2 linked regions of the Rhinolophus ferrumequinum genome follow. The protein of the gene in region 2 purifies or fractionates together with the protein of the main gene of each other region. This does not show direct contact. Links are inferred from orthologs where the notes say so. Each region holds a gene or a part of one and is shown on either strand. Other genes may lie near its edges.

Region 1 (10,805 bases), on a different chromosome or scaffold from region 2:
CAAACGTCATCAGAAGGAGCTCAGATAAGCCAGTCACTTATCTGGTCCAGGCTGCAGTGGAACAAGAGCAAACTACTAACACACAGCATCAGGGTGAACATCAAAAGCAATATTACGCAGCGTGAAAGAAGCCAGACAAAAGGGCACACAGTGAATGGTTCTATTTATAGGATGTTCATACACAGGCAAACTAGTCTATCTAGTTCCTCTGAGGCAGGAAAAAACGAGGTGAGCTCTACGATTGCCCCAGATTCCTGCATCGAGAAAGGTTCCAGGATGCAGGGAAGAAAGGGGAACCAGCAACTACGTGGGTCGAGGAGAAGGAGCTAAGAGTTCAGGCAGAACAAGACAGAATGCCAGAGAACAGAGAGCTGCACAGAACTCTCACAGTCTTCGTGAGGTACTCTGAAGCATTCAGCCGAGTACTGAGGAGCACATGCGTGTGTGCATGTGTGTGTGTGCATGCATGCATGTGTGCACACGCATGTATGAGGGAGCTACCCAAGGCTGGGGAAAGAATCACCAGAAAGGATGAGAGGAAACTGTGCTCAGTGTTCACACAGAGCTGGGAGTGGTGCCTGTTCCCACAACCAGACCAGAACACGTCAAGATTCACACAGTACTGTACAGAAAACATAGAAGGATCTGGCCTTAATGGTGGAGAATGATTAACTCTAGACTGGGCACTGCTCCTGTTCTGCCTACTTCATCTGAAAAGCAGCACCCAAAAGGATCAAACTACCTCTAAGTAACTTAATCGAATTTCAGATCAAGAATATCTGTAAGAGTGAAAAACACCCAGCACCCAATAAGGTAAAATGTGCAATGTCTGCTATGCAATCAAAAATTATCAGGCATGCAAAGCAACAGGAAAACACAGCCCAAGATGAGAATAATCAACCAAATGAATGTGACCCTGAACTGACAGAATCAGCACAGAAGCTATTAAAAGGCATTATAACTGTGTTCCGTATGTTCAAGAAGGTAAGTAGGGACCTTGATGGTATAAAAAGATCCAAATCAAATATCTATAAAAGAAAAATGTGAAAATCAGAGCTGAAAATACACTGGATGGGATTAAGGCGAGATTAGATGCTGCAGAAGGCAGAATGGAGAACTTGAAGAAATCTTAGTACAAACTTCCCAAATAAGCACAGAAAAGACAACCTAAGTAAGTGAATAAATAGATAAACAAACAGAGCATCAGCGCGACAGCGCTTTGGGACCACTTTAAGCAGCTTAATATGCATGTAATTGGAGTCTCTGAAAAGGCAGGGGAGGGGTGGGCATTCAAAGAAATAATGGCTGAAACTTTTCCAAAACATGAGGAAAACTATGAACCCATAGATCCAAGAAAGTCAACAAATCTAAAGTGTAAGTTTGGTGACACACAGTACACCAAGACACATGATAATCAAACTGCTCAAACCCAGTGACAAAGAAAAATCTTAAAAGCACCCAGATGGGGGAACAATAAACACATTATATACAGGGGACCAACCATTAGCAAAACAGCAGATCTGTCCATTTTTTAAAAAAGCGAGTGAGAAGAGTGTGGAGCAACATGAAGTACCAAAAGAAAAGCTGCCAACCTAGAATTCCATACCCAGCAATAAATCAAAGTGAATTCAAAACTCCTTAAGCTGTACCAATGCTTCAGCCATTCCAAGCTCACAGAGCATGCGTGGGACAGCCAGCCATCTTTCCCCTGCTAGTCAAGCTCTCTGGAATGCTGGCAACAGTTTTCTCTGGGGATCACTCCAATCCCCACCCCAGTCCTTAGCAGTCCGGCAGCACTCTGGGCACTTATCTCCTGGTGTTTGGGTTGATCTTGTCGAGATTATCAAATGAGAGAAAGTGTCCTGCACCAAGCAGAAGCCGTGTCACCACTTCTGCCACCCACAGTACAAGCTTTGTGACCCTGGCAAGTCACAACCTTTCTTGAAGAGGAAAGATACCCCCTGCCTCCTGCCTGTTAAAAGAGCTACTGTAAGTGACCAAGGGCTCACCCAGGTGCCGGCTGTGAGCACTGGAAGCCTATGGGAATTGCTATGGCAGAGTTTTTAAAACAGCTCTGCCTCAGCTTCACCCCAGACTAAGGAGGTGGGGCCAGAATGTGAATTCTTTGAAAGCTCCCAGAAACTCCACCGTGCACGTGGGACTGAGAGCCAGCACTACCCATGGACTAGACCCTGAAGATGTGTTCTACAGCCCGTAAGGCACTGTTACTCCATGTGTCTTCATATGTGTGTCTGGGTTTGTAAGAGGTTGAACACTTTCTGAGAACCTTCCTTCCATGGGGGAATGACAGTGCTGCCATCATGAAGTTCACGGCACTGGCAGGACCCTTCCGTGCCATAACCACGGTCGTCACTGTTCCAGCGATAGGGCTGTAGGATGCCAGACAGAGACCACACAGCCAGTGGGTAAGGGACATGGGCTCGGACTGGTGCCCAGCCCAGCCTCATGCTCAGACAGGAGGAAGCATTCACGCATGTGACAAACACAGCCCTCCTTCATAATCCCAGTTTGGCACATCCATTCCTCCCACCCCCCCAAGTTTCAGTTCTTTGTTTCTATGCCTTTGGTCCTGTGCTTCACTGTCATTTCCTAGACGCAGGACGACGGGCTCTTATCCTTTGTCCTGCGAGCCCTGCATGGCACCTGCAGACACTGAACTGTGGACCCTCCATTAATATTTGTTGACCAAATGAATTGGCCAGTCTGTGGGCCAAGGAGGAAACACTGTGACCTTTTATTCCTTACAAATACCTTTATTCCAACCAGGGAGAAAGAGCCACTGTGTTCCTGAGGTTTTTTTCGTGGCCGCTGGGCCACAGCTGGGAGAGGAAGAAGGAAACAGCAGAGGTGCTGTTGGGAGGCTGGACCCATTTCAGTGGCTGGATGCCTGAGGATTCATTTCAGATAGTGTAATGACATCTGCTGACATGGCATCTGCACAAGGAGCCCAAAGGCGGATTAGACAGCCTTTGTTCTCACCTGAGAGGTGCTTTCATTTCTCCCAAAGAGGTGGGGCCCAGGAGCACAGGGGGAGGGGAGGCCTCGGTACTGCAGTATTGAGCAGGCTCAGTTCAGGAATCTAAATGGCATTCAATTGTTTGGAGCAGGCGGTTGGGAAGGGAGAGGGCAAGGCTAGGGGTTCCACCCTGAGGGGTGCTTGGTGGTCAGCGCTGGTCTTGACTGTGAGTTTTTTTAGAAAGAAAAATCTGAACATTTGGGGAAGGAAGTGCACCCCTGAGTGCAGAAGGGGAGCCACACCCCCCACCCCACTCTGCTCTGTGGTGAGGCAGAGCTTCCCAGACCTCCCTCCCAGGGGCTCCCACACAAAGCTACACCAGCAAAACCCAAGTTCTGTCTTCCTCTCAGGAAAGAAGATCCAGGGTGCATTTGGGGACCTGAAGAAACCTCAGCAGTCCAGGAAGGCAGACAGTGAAAACACAAATCGGCTGGATTCCGAAGTTAAAGGGCCACGAAACTTCCCACAGGGACAGTGTGTGCCCCAAACTGGGGGGTGACTGACCCTTCCTGGAGATGTGTCCATCCACTGGCAGCCACAGGACCCAGGACCCTCCCCACACCACACCTCGTCCTCAAGCTTCCCAGCAAGACCCTCTGGCTGGTGAGTTGAAAATGAGGACACTACACAACTCAGAAGGAGGGAAAGGAGCTGACATGTTGACAACCTCTCACTCCTCAGAACATTACCAAAGTTTCCAGGAAACTGAATGTCACCAAGGCCCAACTATTGAACTCAAAGAAAGGGCTGCGGGTCCGGTGGGAGGTGGCGGGGAGCCCCTCCCACATTCGCTCTGTTTAAATCAAGCCTCTGGAGGCCCCACCGTGGACCAGGGTCTCGGATGCAGCCGCCAGGAACTTGTACTACTGCAACAGGCCAGCGCATCCCAGCGTCTGCACAGAGCTGAGTGCCCTTTCCTTTGCAAGACAACACGGGCTGCGCTGGGAGTCTGCGTAATGGCCCATGTCCTACTTCCATTCCCTGAATGGAGTCCAAGGAAGCCTGTTCAAGAGGTGGTTGGATTAGAAAGTTAATCCTGAACTGTCTCCCACTCTGTGGCCTCAGCCGGGCGCCCGCCTCCCACCAGGCAAGGCCCGCTTTCCATCTCTCCTCCTCTCCTGCGCCCACACGCAAGGGTACACAAGCGCACACGCTGGGGCACAGACAAGGACACACGCGCACCCGTGGACATATGAGCACACTTGGGCACGCGCACCAAGGGCACAAGCGTGAACGTGCACACGCAGACAAGGGTGCACGGGCACAGGTACAGACTTGCACAGAGCGTGCACGGCCGCGAGTATGAGCGCACACGGGACGCGCGGGCTACAGCCCGAAAGCATTCATTTCTGAGCGCCCCGCACCCTGGCGCCCCCTCATCCCAGCGCCCTGCAACCCCCGCGCCCCCAGCGACCGGGTTCCCCGGCTCCCAGCGTCCTGCACCCACTCACTTGGCGCCGGTGCCGGCGCGCCCGGGCCCCGCGCGCGCATCCTCCAGGCGGCCCCCGAGTCAGGGCGCGCAGCCGCATGGCGGCTCCCGGCGCCGGGGAAGAGCCCAGCCGGGCCAAGTGAGGACGTCGGCGGGCGCCAACTCTCCGGGCGGCGGCGGTGCCCCACAGGGGTGCCTTCTGGGCCGCTGCGTCTGGGAGTCCCAGGAAAATTTCGACGCCCGGAGGCCCGAAAGGACACGGCCGCCACCTCCACTTCCACTCCGCACTCAGAAGTCAGACGCAGGGAACAAAAGCCAGGCGAGCAAGCGCACGGTCCCCCGGCGCCCCTCCATCTGACACGAATTAGCCCTCCCTCCCCCACCTCAGACCGCAGCTCCAGAAAGGAGGCGAAGGCTTCTCAGCCAAACCCAGGGAGAGTGGAGCAGAAACGCCCCCGGGGCAGGCGTGGGGGGCGAGGCTTCTGCCGCCTCCGACTGGATTACCTTCGCCTTCGGCTAGGGTGCCGCCCGACTAGGATTTCAGAGCTCTCCAGTAACTCTGACCAAGGTGCAAAATCAAAACCCGCAGGCGCTTTGGCTTCAGGGCTTGAAGTCTTGAATGCGTCTAGTCACCTAGTGCTCGGGTAATGGCCAGTATCGCTAGTAATTCCTGCTGCCTTCCAACCGTGGGTTTAGTGGGAAGAAGGAAAAGCGTCAGGCAGAAAGAAAGGCTTTCTTTCCGATTTGCCTCTTCAACTAAGAAAAACAAGGAGCAGCCTTGCTCCAGAGGGATGAGGTAGGGATTCCCCCGCTGAAAGCAAGTGATGAGGAGCCTTCCTCTGGGGCAGGGCCCCCGGCCTCCTGCCCCCCACCATCCCTGTGCCACCCAGCTCCCCACATCACATCCGATTTCCAGTCCCAGTTTGCTCATGGGGGCTGCGGTTTCAGAAGGAAATGTGAAGCCTGGAGTTTGGGAGGTGAAGGTGGGCTGTACGGTGGGGACAGGGTGTCACAGGAAGAAGGCAGACACCTGGAGAGGGGAAAGGCAGCGGGGAAGGGAGGGAGGGCTTCTCCATGGCCTGCCAGACCCCGCAGGATGGAGTCCTCGTGGGCTGTCCACACGAGCAGTGGGGCTTAATTCCACCAGGAGCTCCCGCATCTGTGGATGGAAGAGACAGGAAGGCCACCTTGGCCATGGCCCTGTCCTGCTGGGGCCACCTCCTCCCTCCAGTGGGGCACGGAGGAGGCCCCTGCACGGGAGCAGATGGCGCTGGGGAACCCTCTGGCCTCAGGCTGGCCCCCCCGTGTACCCCCAGCAGTGGCCCCAGTGACCTGACCTGACCTGCCCGGAGGCCCAGCCGTGTGTGGTTCTAGTGACCTGCGATGCGTCCACAGCTCAGAGCTGTGTTGGTCTAACGCCCGATTTCAGATCCTCCCCTCTGCTCGCAACTCCCAATGCCTTAGCTCTGCAGTCGTCTGGGTGGGCTGGACCAGGGCCTTCATGGTTAACACATGTGCGAATTCCAGCCCAGCCGAGGACTCCGGCTGGTTAACCTCTCAGGCTCTGGCGCTGAATATCCATCCGCCTTTCCGTTTCTGCAGTGGAACAGGAGAGCTGCTCTCCGACCTTCAACCACGAGAAGGCCAGGAGGGTGCCATTCTGGGTTCCGACTCCTGGCCCAGCAGACATCCAGCCCTACTCATTGCCCCCGTCGTCATTATTCACATTTTCAGACTTTCTTTTCTGCAGACACAGCCCTCTCCCCCGTGACTGCAGGAGCCTGAGCACACCCGGCCGCATTCATGTCTGCTTCCCCAGCACCTAACACAGGCTGGGCACGGACCAGTACACACACTGTACTGTCCAGTGCTGTCCAGGGCGGTGCAAACGCCTGGCCCAGAAGCCACGGGGTGCAGCACTGCCTCACCCACGGACTGGCAGAGGGACCCTGATCCCAGCAGACAGCAGGTGACCCCTAACATGGTAAAGCTCCCGTGGACCTGAGGACCAGGCTCTCTGGGGGTACCCCAGCCTCTGGAAATGTTCGTGCTGAATGCCAGTGCTCACGGCCAGGCCTGCACGATTGGAAAACAATGGTGGTTCTTCTCCTGGGGACTCCCTAGGTCTCCTACTTATTTGAAAGGTACACCATTCAGAAAACTCCCACACTTTACTACATGCATGTGATACACCCCAAGGGGTTGCCACAAGTAGTCAGCAATCAGGACGTGGTCTCTGCCCCGAAGCCCAAGCTACTTCCCCAAATGCAAAACTGGGAGCCTGCAGTGATTCCCCACTGTGCTAGCGGCCCCCCCTCCCCGGCCCTGCTTACACCTCAGCTCTGTGTCCTGGAGATTGCTGGCCCCACTCTGGCGTCTCCTTTTCCCTTTCTGACTGAAAACTGCCGCCTTTCTGGGCTCAGCTGCAGACCCGCCTCCTGCCCCACCTCCCTGACCAGTTAAATGCCCCCGACCCCACGGACCTCATCCTTGGGGCATAGCCCTGGAGTGTGGTCATCTGTCTTGTGCCTCCAGGCTGCAATCCTAACCTTTGTCTGGGGTTTTCCACACACAAAACAGAGCGGGAGCAATAAATGCTGGGGTAGGAAGGAAACAGTCGGCTTTGCTCCCTGTCCTTGCCGTCAATGTCAGTGTTTCACCCGACCCCCTCAGAAGCAAGCGGAAGCAGAAGGGTTTGGGGTCAGCTCAGTCTGGGGACCCTGGGGACCAGAAACCAGGGCAGGACTGGAGCCCACTCATCCAGGCGCAAACAACCCTGGCCTCGCCCGACTCACCCTGCCACTGGGCTGCCCCTCGTAAGGCTGCAGCCCTCCATGCTCCTCTCGGACCCAACGCCCAGCTGGGGCTGCTCGCTGCACTGAGTGCCCAGAACCAAAGCGAGGTTCTGCCTGCAGAAGACGGACTTCAGAGCACTGGGGACCAGACTGCAAGGACAAGCCCCAGCTCAGGGCCTTGGGCTGCATCACCCACCTGGGGCTGGACACCCAGGCTGCACTGCGGGCAGGAGCCCTTGGATGAGGCCGGCTCTGCCACGGATACAAGGATGGCTGGTGACGGCCGCTGAGAGCGATACTACTGGATTAGAAACCACTGGGTACAGTAGTAATCCATGAGGCCATGGGTCCTACTGACAGAAATCAGGAAACGCAGTGAAGGTCTGAGGAGAAACAGACGTCGGCGTGGCCTCAGGGCGCCTCCCACCCTGGGGACAGAGAGGATGGTGGCAGAAGGCTCAGCAGTAAGTGGGGCTGAGGAAGGGGAAAGGTTTTAGTCCCCACTTGTCCTGGGACCTCACCGAGGAGAGCCACAGTCTACCATCTGTCACTGTCACTCTGGAGAAGCTCTGCACAGTCTCCATTCCCCTTCCCTTTATTGTAAAAGGGGAACAGTAAGTCTACAACAGAACAGGCCCCCCACGCCTCCTCAGTCCTGGCCTTGCCAGGATGCCAGGGCAGTGACAGCACAACTCTCCTGCCAATGTTCCTGCTCGGGGACAATACCTGAGCAGGCCCTGCACGCGGACCTCAGGGGCGCCCACGCCCGCTGGCCCTGCCCCAGCTCCCAGCCTGGGGTCTGCGCTGGGGTCACCAAACATTCTGGGCACGCCAATGTCTGCACCCTCCAGTCCTGGCACACGCAGCATCTGTCACAGGCCAGTACACTCCTCCGTGCTGTGACCTGGAGAGGCAAGGAGTCCCCACCAGACACCTAAAGCATCTTAGAAGCAGGTTGCCTCTGACAACGAAGAAGACCCTTCGGTTTACAGAGCTCCTGCCCAGACAGCTGTCTGGGGCCTGCTCTCGTGCCCCCAGCTCTGAGTTGGCCCTCCCTCCCCGTCTAGCGGTGCTGGTGGCGGGCACACCTGGGCCATCTTGGGCGCAGACCTCGGGCAAATCCTGGCTCTCAGGACATCCCTCACCCTCCTCCCCTGCTCAGCAGGCGTCAGCTCCCCACTACCACCCAGGCGCACAGGCCACTTTCTAATACTTCCTGATGGGGAACATTGAACACAGGGGAAACCAAGGCCCGGGGCGCCTAGGGGTGAGTGGGGGGCCTGGGAGACGGAGAGTCAGGGAGCACAGGCATGTCACCTAACCCAGCACCCCCTCGGGACCACGGGGGCCACCTCGCAGGGTGTATTAGGACCAGGGCTGTAAGGCCTTGCCCCCTCAGCTTCCGTCTTTCACAGCCACTGCTTCTCCAAGTCCCAGCAGGTGCTCAAAGACGTGGTGAACGCAGGAGCACCTGGCCCCAAGGGGGTCTTTTAGTCCCATCAACATAACCCACATGTCTTGGTCGGTGGCTACAGAATTCAGGGCAACCCCCAGCCTGAGCTCCCAGCACCCTCCCACAGCTCATGGCTCCTTTTAAGGAACAAAGTGGTAACTTCTGACATACTTAGCAGAAGGTTTTTTGCCGATGCTCGGAAAATAGGCATTTCACGCCTCTTTCCTTTCCTCTGCAAAAAGTACAGAAAAAATGCTTTCCTGACAAAATCAGCTTCCAATATGTGTTTTCCCTGCTTCCTTGCTCAAGAAAAAGCAACTGTTTTGTTCAAGAACTTGCAGAGCAAAGCAAAAGAAAGGGTTAAAGGGCCACCTCCCGACCCCCAGGCAGTGTCATCCCCTTTCCAGACTTGGGGTCTACCCCACTTTCCTCCTCTGTCTCCTGGCCACCCAGGGGGAGAAGTAAGGAAATGATGGGAACTGAGCTGCGAGAGAAGCATCTTTGGGCCCTCACCTGCCCCGTGGGGGAGGCTGGGGTGCAGCAAGAGAGGGTGAGGGCAGGGAGGAAGGGCTGTAGTGTGCGGGCTTCTGCCTGAGTGGACATCAAGGCCTGAAACCTCCGAGGTAAAAGGACCCCCCACAGCCTCTCACACCCCATGTTCCTGCCTGCTGCCCCCTCACAGACACAGAGCAGGGTTCCTTGGGGTAAGAAGGGCCCCAAACCCTTGGCCTCACCCTCCCGTGGGGAAAAGGGGTGGAGAGGCAACAATACATATCAGACTAGTAAACGGAAACAAGGTTTTTCTCTGCACGCCGATGTGACCCAGGGAGGGGCCTGCAAGCGTGGGGGGCCCTCGGCCAGTCTTCCTACCTCTTACACTCAGACACCGGCCAGACGGCTCACAGCCGACCGTCCTCCGGTCCGTTCTCAGACCTCCAGGGCTCCTGAGCGCCAAGCCAACCGCCAGTGATAAACCTGGAGGCGCCTGGGGGCTCTGCACCAGCACTGAACTCCAAGCACAACCCCCGAATCAGACGGTGAGACCCACAGTGCGGGAACAGGTTCTGCTGCTCTGGGCACCAGGAGACCTGAAGTGGAGAGGGGAGCGTCCACTTCCCGCTGGGTGCCGAAGGAAATGGACACGGCTGCTGGGACTCACCTGGCCCCCAACTCTCCCCACTGAGACCAATTGAGCTATTTCAGGTGGGTTTTATGTAACACAAGGGAAAATCTGCATCGTTGTCCATGCCTGGTGACGGGCTTCAAAATGCCCGCATGGGCCAGCTGTCGCCACACACCCCAGCCCGAAATCCCGTTCCCTGCAGACAAGCAGAGGGTCAGGGAAGTCAGCCTGCTTGGTAACGCTCCATGGCCACAGCTGAGGGTGGCCACGGTGGGTGGCCCCAAAGCCACGCCGTTCCCCCAGGTGGGGGTGAGGACACGGCGCACGCCTGCCTGGCCATCACCTGGAGCGTCCCTTCCCCAGGCCCTGTACACCCCCTGCCCAGGGGGAGGACGAATGGAGACAGGTGAGGCTGACAGAGCCCTGAGTCACCCAGCCTCGGCTCAAAACCCCCTGAATTAACCCTAGTCCTTCCACTCCCGAGTTCTCCAGACCCAGGGTCTGGCTGGGACAAACCGGGTGACAGCGGGCCCACCTCTGGAACTCTGTGCGGAGATTCTGCCTCTGAGAACCCAGACCACCCTCCATGTCCCACCTGGAACAAACCGTTCTCAGCCCACAGCCTTTGGGGGGCACCAGACGCCTGGAAGTCTTCAAAATCTCCCCTGGGGCCTCTGGTCTGCAGCTGGTTTAAGAAGCACAGGGCACGGAGACTTGGGGACCAAGCACATGGCCTGACACATCACCCCCCAGGAGGCGGGACCGACCTCAGGCAGGCAGCACCAGGGGCACCGGAGATGATGCTCTGCCACCCGCCGACGGTCTGCAGGTTAAAAGTGGTCACTCTGGGCCACCACTTCCTCCTCTGCTAATGCGGATGACAACTCCCTCCCAACCCCACAGAGTTCCGGTGAGGTTTCCACCAGGCGACGCACAGAGGGGCTCTGGTAGACACCACTGGTACGCCC
Region 2 (11,445 bases):
CCAGAGTCCGAGGTCAGGCACTGAATGGGCCACCTAGGGGAGGACCCTCTGCCTGGGGTAGTCCTGGTCCATCCTAGGGTCATCTGGGGCGATGGTCTCCCAGGCTCAGGGGTGCCATGCTGAGACTGGTTTCCTCCTCCCGTCCAAGGGGGTGGTCCCAGGAGGGCACTCCCAGTTCTCTGGTCTCCAGATAAGCAGAACAAGAGAAAGCATGCAATGTCACGGGAATGCACACTCAGGTTAGATGGGGAACACCTTCCAAGGAGGAGGACGCTGACACACAAGACTTCCCCAGGGATCTGTTGGCCACCTAGGTCCTCTTCAACTCCCAGCCGGGGGAGCCCTAAAATCCCTGCCTGCCCCAGCTTCCTCCCTGCCCCGGGCCCTGGGAAAGGGTGCGGAGACGAGGCTGGCTGAGGGTCAGAATGCCTGGGTTCCCTGCCCAAGTCTCAGTTTTCCCAGGGAAAGTAGGCCTCTATGTCCACTGGGGAAATGAGGGGCCTGCCGAGGAAGTAGCCAAAGCTGGGGGACGGGAGGCAGCTGGGCTCTCAGAGCAGAGGCCTTGTTCACTCAGCTCGGATGCCGGGAGAAGAGAAGGAAGGGTAGGGTCAGGTCCCAGAAACCGACCAGTAACCCATCTTCTCAGGGCCAGGCCGTGATCTGGGCCGGCCAATCACAGGGTGACAGGAAGGGGGCAGGCAGGAAGGCGGGACGGGCACTAGCCAGAGCAGTCCAGAGCCTCAGGGCCAGAGGGTTTTAAAAGGGCCCCGGGCCACAGAGCAGCCCTTGGCTGGTGAGCCACCAGCCACCTCTGGCCCAGCGTCTTCTCCACAGACTGTGGTGGGCACTCCATCAACAATGCCCCCTCCCCCGCCCCGACAAAGTGCCTGTGACGGCCAGGGGCTGTGCCAGGCACTTTCTAGCACCTTGGAGTGTTCACACTGCCCGCACATTTCCCTCTGGAGCAGGGACACTGTCCCCGGTGTGTACATAAAGGAACCCTGTCTCAAACGGTGACCTGTCCAAGGTCCCTCCTCCCGGGCCTAAGTGGCATGGCTGGGCCTGGAAACCAGGTTGGATGGTTGTCAAGTTGCCTGCTCTCTCCGATACTCCTGGTCACTATGGGGGCCTGTAGCAACCACCACCCCAACAACAGTCAGGAAACAACAGTGCATACGCTTAGTAAGAGGGTCTGGGTAGGGTTGCTGTGGCAGCTATTTGGAAAATTCTACACCTTTCCGGAGGCAAAGTTACACAGACCATGTAGCAGCATGAGAAAATGCCCACAGACACAGTATTAAATGAAAAAAGTCATGGCATGTACACTGAAATGACAATAGCGACGAAGGAATAAAAACCCAGGAAAGACTGGCAGGGAACTCCAAAATGCTAGTCACTGTGCCAGGGAAGAAACAGTGGGTGATTTTTGTTTTGTTTTCTACATTTCCTGTAGTGCTTTGTTACTTTCTAAATTAAGAAACTAATACATACATAATTTTCTCGCAATGAGCGCAGACTCACTTCCCTGGGCCCCGCCTGCCCCCAGCTCTGGCCCTGGTGTCTGGGACAGCTTCTACCATGGCAAAGCCCCTCAGACACGTGAGGGTCTCTCCCTACCTTCTCTTTTCCGTACCAAATACCTCTGCTCTTTGGAGATTATGTGTCAAGGCTTTGAAATTCCTCAAAAGATGGAGGCCAGAACTGGGCCCAGGCTGCCCTGCCCACTCAGGCCACCTGGCGGCTTGCTGGGGCAGCTAACCGTGGCTCCTGGGCCTCAACCCCCGCCTGTATGCTCTGTAGTGTCTCACCGTCTTGGGGCCCAGTGTCCCCTGCAGTGGTGCTGGGGACTGTTTTCTGGTCCTTCCTTGCCCCCGATCCAACAAAAAGAAAAGCAGTCACTTCTGAGAGGGAGGAAGGCACCTAGCTCGCCAGGTAGGAAAACACATCCCTGCACATGTGCCAGCCTGCAGCCAGACCCCGGTCTACAAAGGCCGCGGGACCCCAGCCACCCGGGTACAGCTCAACCATGTCAGGCCTCAGCCCCAACCCCAGGCTGGAAAGGAAGTTAGGGCTGGGTGAGGGGAGCCTCACAGGCCGACCTCATCTGGGTCCTCTCCACTGTGCATGTCAGGGAGACTTGGGAAAAAACTTCTAATCAAGGGCAGAGCCTGAGCAGGGCCCCAGACATGGCTCGGTGTCCTCCAGGGAAACTCCCACCCTTCCAGGAACAAGAGGATTCTGCCACACTCCCAATCTCCCTCCTGCTGCCTTCACCCTGGGGTCCCATCAAGAAAGACGCTGAGATCCCCATGGTGTGGGGAGCTGGGAACAGGCCCCTGGGTATCCCCTGAAAATGCTCCTATGCCAAGGCTGTGGGGCGTTCCCTGTGGAAACAGGGTTCTCACCTTCCCCATGTGGATCCCATTCACGCTCTGAATTTGGCTGTTCCTATGCCATCTGGGCCAAAGGTGTGGGAGGGCAGGGTCACGACTGAATACCAGGCTGTCTCAGCTCAGTGCCAGGGCCACACCAGACAGGTGTCCCCACATCCTCACCAGTGGGACCCAGCCTCAGGCACCGGGGGTAACCCCAGGGGCAGTGCAGATGCCTGAGCCCATACGCAGGCAGAGCTGGGGCCGGAAGTCCTCTGCCTCCTCTACAGCCCTCTGTAGGGGAGCACATGCTCACCCCACAGGGTCCCTTGGGCCAGGATGGGGGCCTGTGTCCCTGGTCAGTGAAGGTGCCTGCCTGGCTGCCCTCTACCTACAGCAGTCCAGCTCTGTAGAGCGGGGGATGGATGGATAGACAGCATAGCTCTGCCAGAAGCCTGGGGGAGCAACTTCCCCCTTTGAGCCTCAGTTCCCTGGTCTACTAGGAGGGGAGAGGAAAGGAACCCCTAGTTAAGTTCCAAGGATCTGGTGGCTGGACACGCCCCTTCCTGACACCTGGCCTGGGCCCTGAGGAGCCTGGGAGAATGGGCTGACCAGGCTGCCAGGCGGTGGGGGCATGGTCCTAATGCCCAGTGTCACCTCTACCCAGGACAGTGGCCCTGCCAAGTTTCCCCACCCAAAGGTCAGAGGTTCCTTGGCTTAAGCCTGGTTTTCTGTGAGGCAGAGGGTGACAAGCTCAATCTCTGGGCCCTGGGATTCCTAGAGCAGGCAGGGCCTCTGTTGGGAAGCGAGGGAGGGGTCATAACCAGGCAGACCAGGGAACCTGCAGGGAGGCCCTGGGTAGGGAATGGCAAACTGCCCATTCTCCAGGGCTCTGGCCCAGGCTGACCCCTTCCCTCCCGGCTACAGCCAGACCCCACACGGGGGAAACAGGGGGACAGACTCGGCTGGCCTGAGCGAAGTCTGTGGGGGCTCATAGGGCAATACTTCCCTCCTGTGCTCCCCTCCCAGTCGGGCTGACAGTGACTCCCGGGAGAATTCGAAACCGGGAAGGAGGGGGTAAGGGAGGTGGGGGATGGGAGTGGACGCGACGGCAGCTGCAACAGCAGTAACAGAAGCGGGACGTGAGACCGCCACCCTCCTCCCTCGGGAAATACTCAAACGCACTCACCTTTCAGGGCACTGCGGTCCGGGCCACCTCGCTTTGGGCAGCATTAGCGGCCTGCGGGACGGTCCATGCCGCCAGGGGAGAGGGGAGGGGCGCAGGGGTCCCCGGAGGATGCGGTACAAAGAGGTAGGAGTGCGGAGAGAGGGTAAGGAGGGACGGCCAGACGGACGCAGGGGGCAGCCGCGCGGCCAGGGTCGGGGAGGGAAGAAAGGCGGGGGAAGGAGGGCGAGAGGGAATCGGGGAGGAAACAATGTAGCCGGCGCGGCCCCGGCAGAGTTCCGTTTCCGAACGCCGCCACCAAGGTTTGATTTTGGAACGTCGCGCCGGCTGCCGGGGGCCGCCCAGGACGCGGGGGGCTCCCCGCGCTCCACGCCCCGGAGGCTCCGGCGGCCACAGGCTGGCTGGGGCGGGAGGGACCGCTGGCTGGCGGGACGGTCCCGACGGCGGCGAGGCCGGAGGGTCGCCCCACTCGGACCCCACCCCGGCAGGACCCCCGACAGGGTGCGGGGTGGGGCGGGAACGGGAGGGCGGCGGCGGGCTCGGCGGCGGCGGCCAAGCTCAGCTCGCCCGGGGCTCTGCTGGGAGGAAGCTCACAGGCCTGGCGAGAGGAAGCGCCGCCCGGATCCTCCGCCCGCGGCAGCGCGCCTGCGCGAGGGGGCCTGCCAGGCGTGCGGCGGGGCGTGGGCCAGTGGGGCGTGGGCCGGCGGAGGCGGCGCCCCCTGCCGGGCGCCGGGGGCACTACGGGGGGTGTGTCCGCGCCCACGCCCTGCCCCCACCTGCAGGCCTGCGATGGAGGCTCCCGAAGGTCCCGCGCCGTGGGCCGACCAGCCCGCCTTGGAGCCACCAGCAGCCTTCCCGGGGCGCAGCTCCCCTGCTGTAGAAGCGATTGAGGCCGGGCCTGGGCCCTTCTCCTTGAATCTGTTTGTGAAGAGTGGGCCTCACTCGCAGCAGGAAGCATTCATTCATTCATTTATTCTCAGACGATTAATGGCGCTGACGATGAGACGGGCCCGGTTCCGGAGTCTACTAGTAGGACCACTACATTACTGTCAAGGTGTTCTCGGCACTACTGACCGGCCAACAGACAAGCTCAAAGAAATAACTGATAATGGTGTACAAGGTCCACAGGAAGCGGAAAAGGGGGAGACGAATGGGGAGATTTCATGGAGCTGGGACCCTAGGCAGGGGGAACAGCATGGACCGCGGCAGGGAGAGATGAGAGAGCTTGATGGCTCTGGAACCTGGAAATAGCGCAGTATGACAGTGTAGGTCCAGGAGAGTGGGAGGAGATGACGTCCCCGGAAGACCAGGGACTAGAGAGATCCAAAGAGCCTTGTGGGACTTTCTTAGACTTTGTTTTCAGCCTGGAGGCAATGGGGATGTTGTCAACAGCTACGTGACTTTGGGAAAGTTAATAACCTCTCTGGGCTTTAGTTTCCCCATTTGATAAAATGGGGGAAATAATAGCACCAACTTCTTAAGGTTTTGTAGGACAGGAAATGAGTTAATACATTTAAAGTGCTTAGTGAGCAGGGGCTGGCACATGGTCAGCCTTCAGTCAAGTCTCGTGTGTTGTTATATATCATTATTAACAAGGAGCAGGGAGGAGATCTACTTTGAGCTACAGGAGCAGACAGTGGGTGTGGGTGGGGGGTTAGAGAGTGGGGTCGGTGACGGGGAGAGACCAGAGACTCCGGTGCAGATAGGACATGTGGAGGCGTTTCCTAGGGACTGGGCCGTGAAGGAAGAGTCAGGATTGTGTGGGCACAGAGGAGGGACGTTCTCCGGTAGGGAAATGAGGTGTACTGACAAAGTCTTGAAATTCACAATAAGCGAGGGGCTGAGGGAGTGAGGTGGACAGTAAAGGGCTCTGTGGGAGAGTGAGCTGGGGAGACTGTGGCAGCAGATTGCGAAGAGCCTTACATACCAGGAGCAGGAGTTGGGTGTGCCTTCACCCAAACCACAGGTGACCTTCTGACCCAATGCACCCCTGGCCAGCTTGCCACTAAGGCTCCAGCCCTTTAAGGAGGGGAGTGGTAGTCACACCCCTAGCCTTTGAGGAGCTATCCAGTAAGTTTCAGAGATACTGTGGTGGAAAAAAGCACGAATTTAAGGTTCAAATCTTAAATCTCAGCGGGGCCATTTACTAGCTGTGTGACCTTGGGTTAGTTACTTAAGGTCTCGGAGCTCAGTTTCCTCTTCTGTAAGATCAAGCTCAAAATACATCTCTCTTATGAGAGATGGTACAGATTCAGCAAGATAACGGCTTTGGGGGAGGGCGGAGGGGGTGCTTAGCTCAGTTGGTTTCCCTTTCTTTCCGATGAGGTCAAGATGGAATGATAAAGTGGGACCGGATGGGGCCACCTCTTAGCCTAAAGGGAAGCATTTCAGCAGCTCTGCAAAGCCTTCCGAAGGGAGAAGTTGACATCTCCCCTACCCTGGCTGAGTCAGCTTGCAAAATGGGAAAGGGCTGTGGGGACGTGGGGAAAAGGCTCTAATCCCTGGCCCAGTTTTGTTACCTACCCATCTTCCCTTAACCCCAAGTACATTTGACATTTTCCCTGGGTGTATGTGGCCCAGAGTGTGAACTTTGGAGTCAAACAGACTTGCATTTGAATCCTGACTCCACCTCTTCACAGCAGAGTGAAATAAATTTTTTAACTTCCCTGAACCATAGGCACAGGGGACAAATCAATAAAGGGCCCTGCCCCCACAGAACTCTCCTCTAGTGGAAGAGCCAAGTAACTTCCAACCTTCTTCATTCATTTATTCATTCATTCACTCATTCAACAAATACTTATTGAGCACCTACTAAGTGCTAGGCATTGTTCTGGATGCTGGAGATGAAGGAGTGAGCAAAGAGTAAGCAGGGGTCTTGTCCAAGAGGATAAATCAATAAACAGGGCAATTAGACACTGTGGTATGAAGGTGATGAGTGCCTGATGGAGGACAGCAGACCAGGAGTCAGGTACAGGTGGCTCAGCAGCTTGAGGGACAAGATCAGCAAGCGGGGGAGAGCAGTGTGAGGAAGGGGCCAGGTCCTGGAGGGCACTGTGGACCAAGGCTTTTGTTACATGAGTTTGGGTTTTGTTACATGAGCAATGGGGAGCTGTTGAAGGATTTTAAGCAGAGGAGTGACATGATTGAGTGAAGGACAGGAGACCAGGACGATGCTTTGCATGGTCCTGCCAGTGGTGACAGGAGTGAGCTCTGATGGACAAAGGAGAGCCATGTGACAGCTCTTGATGAAGGGCTGTTTGTGGGGAGTGAGGCCACAGGAGAAAGCAGGCCTGGTCCTCAGGTGTGGCTGGAGCAATCGAGGAAACTGGTACTGTTTCCTGAGGTGGGAGGGCCTGGGGGAGGGGCAGGCTGGGAGTAACGCTCAGGAGCTGGATTTTGGACAAACTGAGTTGAAGACACCTGTGAGACATGGAGATGTCAGGCCAGGATTTGGAGCCACCTTTTACACACCAAGGCTCAGAACAGGAAAAAACTTTCTCCGAGTCCACTCCCAGGCCTGGGCTTCAGGTCTGAGGACCTCCAAAGCTTCCCCATGCAATGGACTTTAGGAAAGGAAATCATTAGAGCAGGAATAATGATTCCTCCAAATCATTAGGATTTGGGAGGAATTGATGAGGAGCCCCGTCCCAGCCAGGTAGGCACAAGCACTAGCTTTCCCAGGCTGGGCTACCTGTCCCTGGCGTGACGGAAAGGAGAAAAGAGGAGATGCTGGAGACCCCGGATGTAGGGAATGGAGCTCAGAACTTTGGGCTGCATTTTGATAAGATCCAACTGGGCTAGCTCGATGCAAAGTTAGGTTGGTCATTGATGGCCAGAGGTCCGGAGCTTAAACACCTTCATGGGTGGGCTGCACTCTGCTCTCAGGGTCTCCTGGGAAGGGAAGGGCCTCTTCTCAGCCACCCTAGCTCCTCCCCTCCCCCAGCCTCTTTGCTTTGAGATGACAGTTTAGAGAAGCTGGTGTGAAATAGTTTGAAACTCAGTCCCGTCTGGGCGTCCCCCAGGGCAGAAAACAGGAAGCCAAGATTAAAGGCAGATTTCCAGCAAAGTCCCCTCGACTTCCTGCAGAGCAGGTGCCCAGGCTGAGCTGATGTGAGCAGCTTCCCTTGCTGACAACACCTGGGGTGCCCTGCATGGCTGGCCCTCCTGCTTTGGGAGCTGTTCTTTGGCCCTGTCATCACCGTCACACCCCGGAACTCTGCCAGGCCTTTGGGGAATGAGCCTCCTCCAGAAAAAGACTGGAAGGTGGAAGGAGCCGTCACTGGGAAAGAGGGCTGGTGTTGGCACTGACAGGACACAGCACTGGGGATATCTGGGGGGCAGGGAGACCAAGCAGGAAGGGCATGAGTTTGAGGTCACTCAGGCCCAGTGTGAATGCCGCTTCCCTGCTGCAGGGTCTCACTGACCTGTGGGGATGGGTCAAGGGGTGAAGAAGTGCGAAGGGGGGCTTAAGGAAGGTGGTCAGGGAGACCAGACCAGTGCTAGAGCTGAGGTCCCTAAGGAAGGCCAGAAGCCAGGAGACAGCAAGTGCCCAGAGGGGCCCCTGCTCTCTGAACACCAGGGGCTGCTTGGCTGGATGACCAAGCTGATATCTACACCTGCTAAAGGCTCAGCAGCTGTGGAATCGACAGGGGGCCAGGTGGGCCTCCCATGTGACCTCTCTCCCTTCCTGATCCGCAGGAGAACAGGCTTCCATGAGCTGCACTAAGTCAAGAAGCTGTGCTCGCCTCCTGCAGAGGCAAAGCAAAGCCTCAGCCTGCATTCTCCTCAAGGAGCCTGAGCTCCCAAACGCACAAAGCTCTCCTTGGGAGTAAGCATTGCCCATCTGAATCTAGGGGCATCACACGTTGAAAACCTCTCTCCTTGGGCTGGCTGAGTTTATCATGAGGACAGTGCGTTGGCATAAGAGACCGAAGTTCGAGGGACCGAAATCGCTTCTGCCTTTGGGCAAGTCCTCCCTGTTCACGCCTTAGTTTCCCCATCTGTGCACCAAAGGGTTGCATTTAGTGTTCTCCTGCAGCTCTGACTCCGTAGGGATGGTGGCTGCCAACTGTCTCCAACTTCTGTCCCCCTGGGACCAGGGAACTACCATTTAATGAGCACCTACTATGTGCCAGGTACTTTATTATTATTACTGATGATGATAGCTAATATTTACCGAGTACTTACTAGGCACAAGCATTTTTTTTTTTTAATGTCAAATGAAAGTCTGTTCTCTTTGTTGCACCAATTTGCTCCAAGGGTATTTCCTAGGAAAGTTAGTCTCTGTTTCCCATATGATGGTGGCAGAAGTCTTGGTGGTGGTGGGTTGGTGGCTTCGGGGCTTTAGAGGTGGTGACCCAACTGAGAGGCCATTGGGAGCTGGAGGACCCCACTTCTGTGGCCCGAGGCAGCATGCACATAGGGCCTCCCCAACCACACCATGGGCGTTAACTAGCTGGTCCTCTGCTCCGAAGGGCAAGGGTCCTGGGCTCCCTGATTTGCAATCTCCCCAGAGTGGGCAGATCCAGAGGCAGGTCCACAACATGAATTGGTCAAGGTACCTGGGATCCCTGCAACCTTTCTTGGTGCTTCCCTCATGGCACATATTTCTTTCCTCCTGCTTAGTTCCTGTCTTGGTCAATGTTCTGTCTGGGGGGAGTACAGATGGTCACCAAGGCGATGAGTTCCCAGGAGGGATGTGCAGCTGTGATGTGCGTACAGGACACTGGAGCCGCCTCCCAAGAGCTCAGACCCTGCAGGAGAAGAGATGTCTGCGAGGCAGGCCGAGGGGACAATGGGAGCAGAGGCTCTGGAGCTGGAAGGGGTTGAGCTTTGGGAGAAGGGGAAAGAGGCCAGGATGGGGTGAGGTGCAGGGCACGAGGGAGCAGAGGCCGAGTGGCCAGAGCCTGCAGGGCCACCTGTGGACCACGGAGTCTTTGGATCCCCTCCTCAGGGCAGAGGGACCCTGCTATTAGAGGGCTTACCACAGCCTCGACTGTACATTTGCATTTTTAAAAGATCCTTCCTGCTTCTGGGTGGAGAATTGACTGGCTTTTTGTCTTCCAGGAAGCTGCAGTGACACTTCCCAAATCTCAAGGCTAGGCTACCCCCTTCTCTCTCCTGTTCCCCTCATGGCCCACTTCTCAGCATTGTAGCACTGACTTTCCCCTGGGTGCGGGTTTCCGGATCTGTAGTTGGAGGCTGGAACCCGCTGGAACCCGCTTCTCAGATGTTGGTTGAATGAATGAGTGAATTTCTTCCTTTCTTTTGTTTTTTAATGGGGAATATTGGGGAACAGTGCATTTCTCCAGGATGTCAAGCTGCTGTTGTTTTTTGTTTTTGTTTTTCTCAACCTAGTGGGGAGCACAGCTCAGCTCCAAGTCAAGTCACCACCTTCAATCTAGTTGTGGAGGGCGCAGCTCACTGGCCCATGTGGGAATCGAACCGGTGACCCTGATGTTATGAGTACCGTGCTCTAAACACTGAGCCAACTGGTCGCCCACCGTTGGCTCAGCTCCAAGCTCAAGTCTTTGTTTTCAATCTAGTTGTGAAGGGCGCAGTTCACTGGCTCATGTGGGAATTGAACCGGCAACCGCGCTGTCAAGAGCATGTGCTCCAGTCAACTGAGCCATCTGGCCACCCATGAATTTCAGTTAGTAATAGTAGTAATAGTAATAATAATAATAACAGGTAACATTAACTAATACCAGGCTTATCACGTGCCAGACACTATCCTAAACACTTTACATGTCTTAATTGCCATTTAATCTTTGCAATATATTTGTGAGGTAAGTATCATTTCATTCTGCCGCTAAGGAAACTGAAGAGGGAATCCCTGGGAACTCAGCCATCGGATCCTAGGAAGGAAAGGAAGGACCCAGGATGCCCTCGCATCATTCTCACCCAATTTATCCTAATAGCTTCTGGGTTAGAGTCTTGGACTCACGCCTGCCCAGCTGTGTGACCTTAAGCAAAAGGCACTTAACCTTCCTGAGCCTCAGTTTAATCATCTCTAAAATGGGAGTGAGAGGCCAACCTCACAGGGTACTTATGATGCTAAGATGAGATGAAGTATGAATTGCAGGCACAGTGCTTTGGCTCAAGGCACCTTTCACTCACCGGCAGTTAGATGAATATTTTTTCTCTGACTCCTGAAGCAGGCTGTGTAGTCCTGGTTCTCCCCTGCTGTCCTCTATGAATTCAAGTCCAGCTCCCTGAGGCTTTTGTCTGTTCCTGAGCTGACAGTTTCACAATGGCTGATGAATTGAAGCCCTCCATCATCCATTCACCCAATACTGAGGGCGTGTTGACTACTTCCCAGGGACCAGGGGCCACTGGGGTTGGGCAGGTCCAGAAGCTTCCTTGGCTCTCCCCTGGAGTCCTGGGCTTGCAAAACCTCTTACAGTTTAGGGCTTTCCCGTCAGAGCTGCCCAGAGACCTTCACCTGCCAGCTCTCAGCTCTGAGCTGGACCAACCTCCACCCAGAAGTCCCCAGGCTCTGCTTTGCGGATTGGGAGCCCCAGTCGGTCCTGTTCTGGCTTCTTCGTGGGAACTGTTTAGGGGAAAGCAAGAAAAGGGTCCTGGCGTTCTCCGTTGTGCAAAGGTTGGAAACTTGGCCTAGGGTGAGGTGACAGAGCACCAGGAGCAGGAACCAGAGGTTGCCGGGCTTGTGCGTCAGGCCAAGCTTTTGCAAATCACATGCAAATCCTGTTGTCCAGGTGTTATCCTGTGAATAAGCCTGGTGCTAACATCTGTCCCTGTCCGATCAGGGCCGCTTTCAAAAGTCCCTTCCCTTGGTTGAGAGTGGGGTAGGGCTGGATAGGAAGGGGACCCTTCCTGAGCCAAAAGGAGCTCCAGAAGCCACCTGTGCGTCAGGTATGGGGCCTG

Evidence for each region.
Region 1: the proteins of CSK (region 2) and TNS3 purify together in Homo sapiens (affinity purification with mass spectrometry; 4 studies listed by BioGRID and IntAct, with this or other methods). This does not show direct contact. The link is inferred for Rhinolophus ferrumequinum from reciprocal best matches to the Homo sapiens genes CSK and TNS3.

The regions. Positions count from the first base shown.
Region 1 is NC_046303.1:1,021,325-1,032,129, forward strand, and holds the start of TNS3 (tensin-3), read right to left. Parts: upstream 4,579-10,805; 5' UTR 4,567-4,578; coding exon 4,489-4,566; intron 1-4,488. UniProt on the Homo sapiens protein: May act as a protein phosphatase and/or a lipid phosphatase. Involved in the dissociation of the integrin-tensin-actin complex. EGF activates TNS4 and down-regulates TNS3 which results in capping the tail of ITGB1.
Region 2 is NC_046289.1:99,358,046-99,369,490, reverse strand, and holds the start of CSK (tyrosine-protein kinase CSK), read right to left. Parts: upstream 4,590-11,445; 5' UTR 4,335-4,589; intron 4,120-4,334; exon of another isoform or gene 3,562-4,119; intron 2,430-3,561; exon of another isoform or gene 2,406-2,429; intron 1-2,405. UniProt on the Homo sapiens protein: Non-receptor tyrosine-protein kinase that plays an important role in the regulation of cell growth, differentiation, migration and immune response.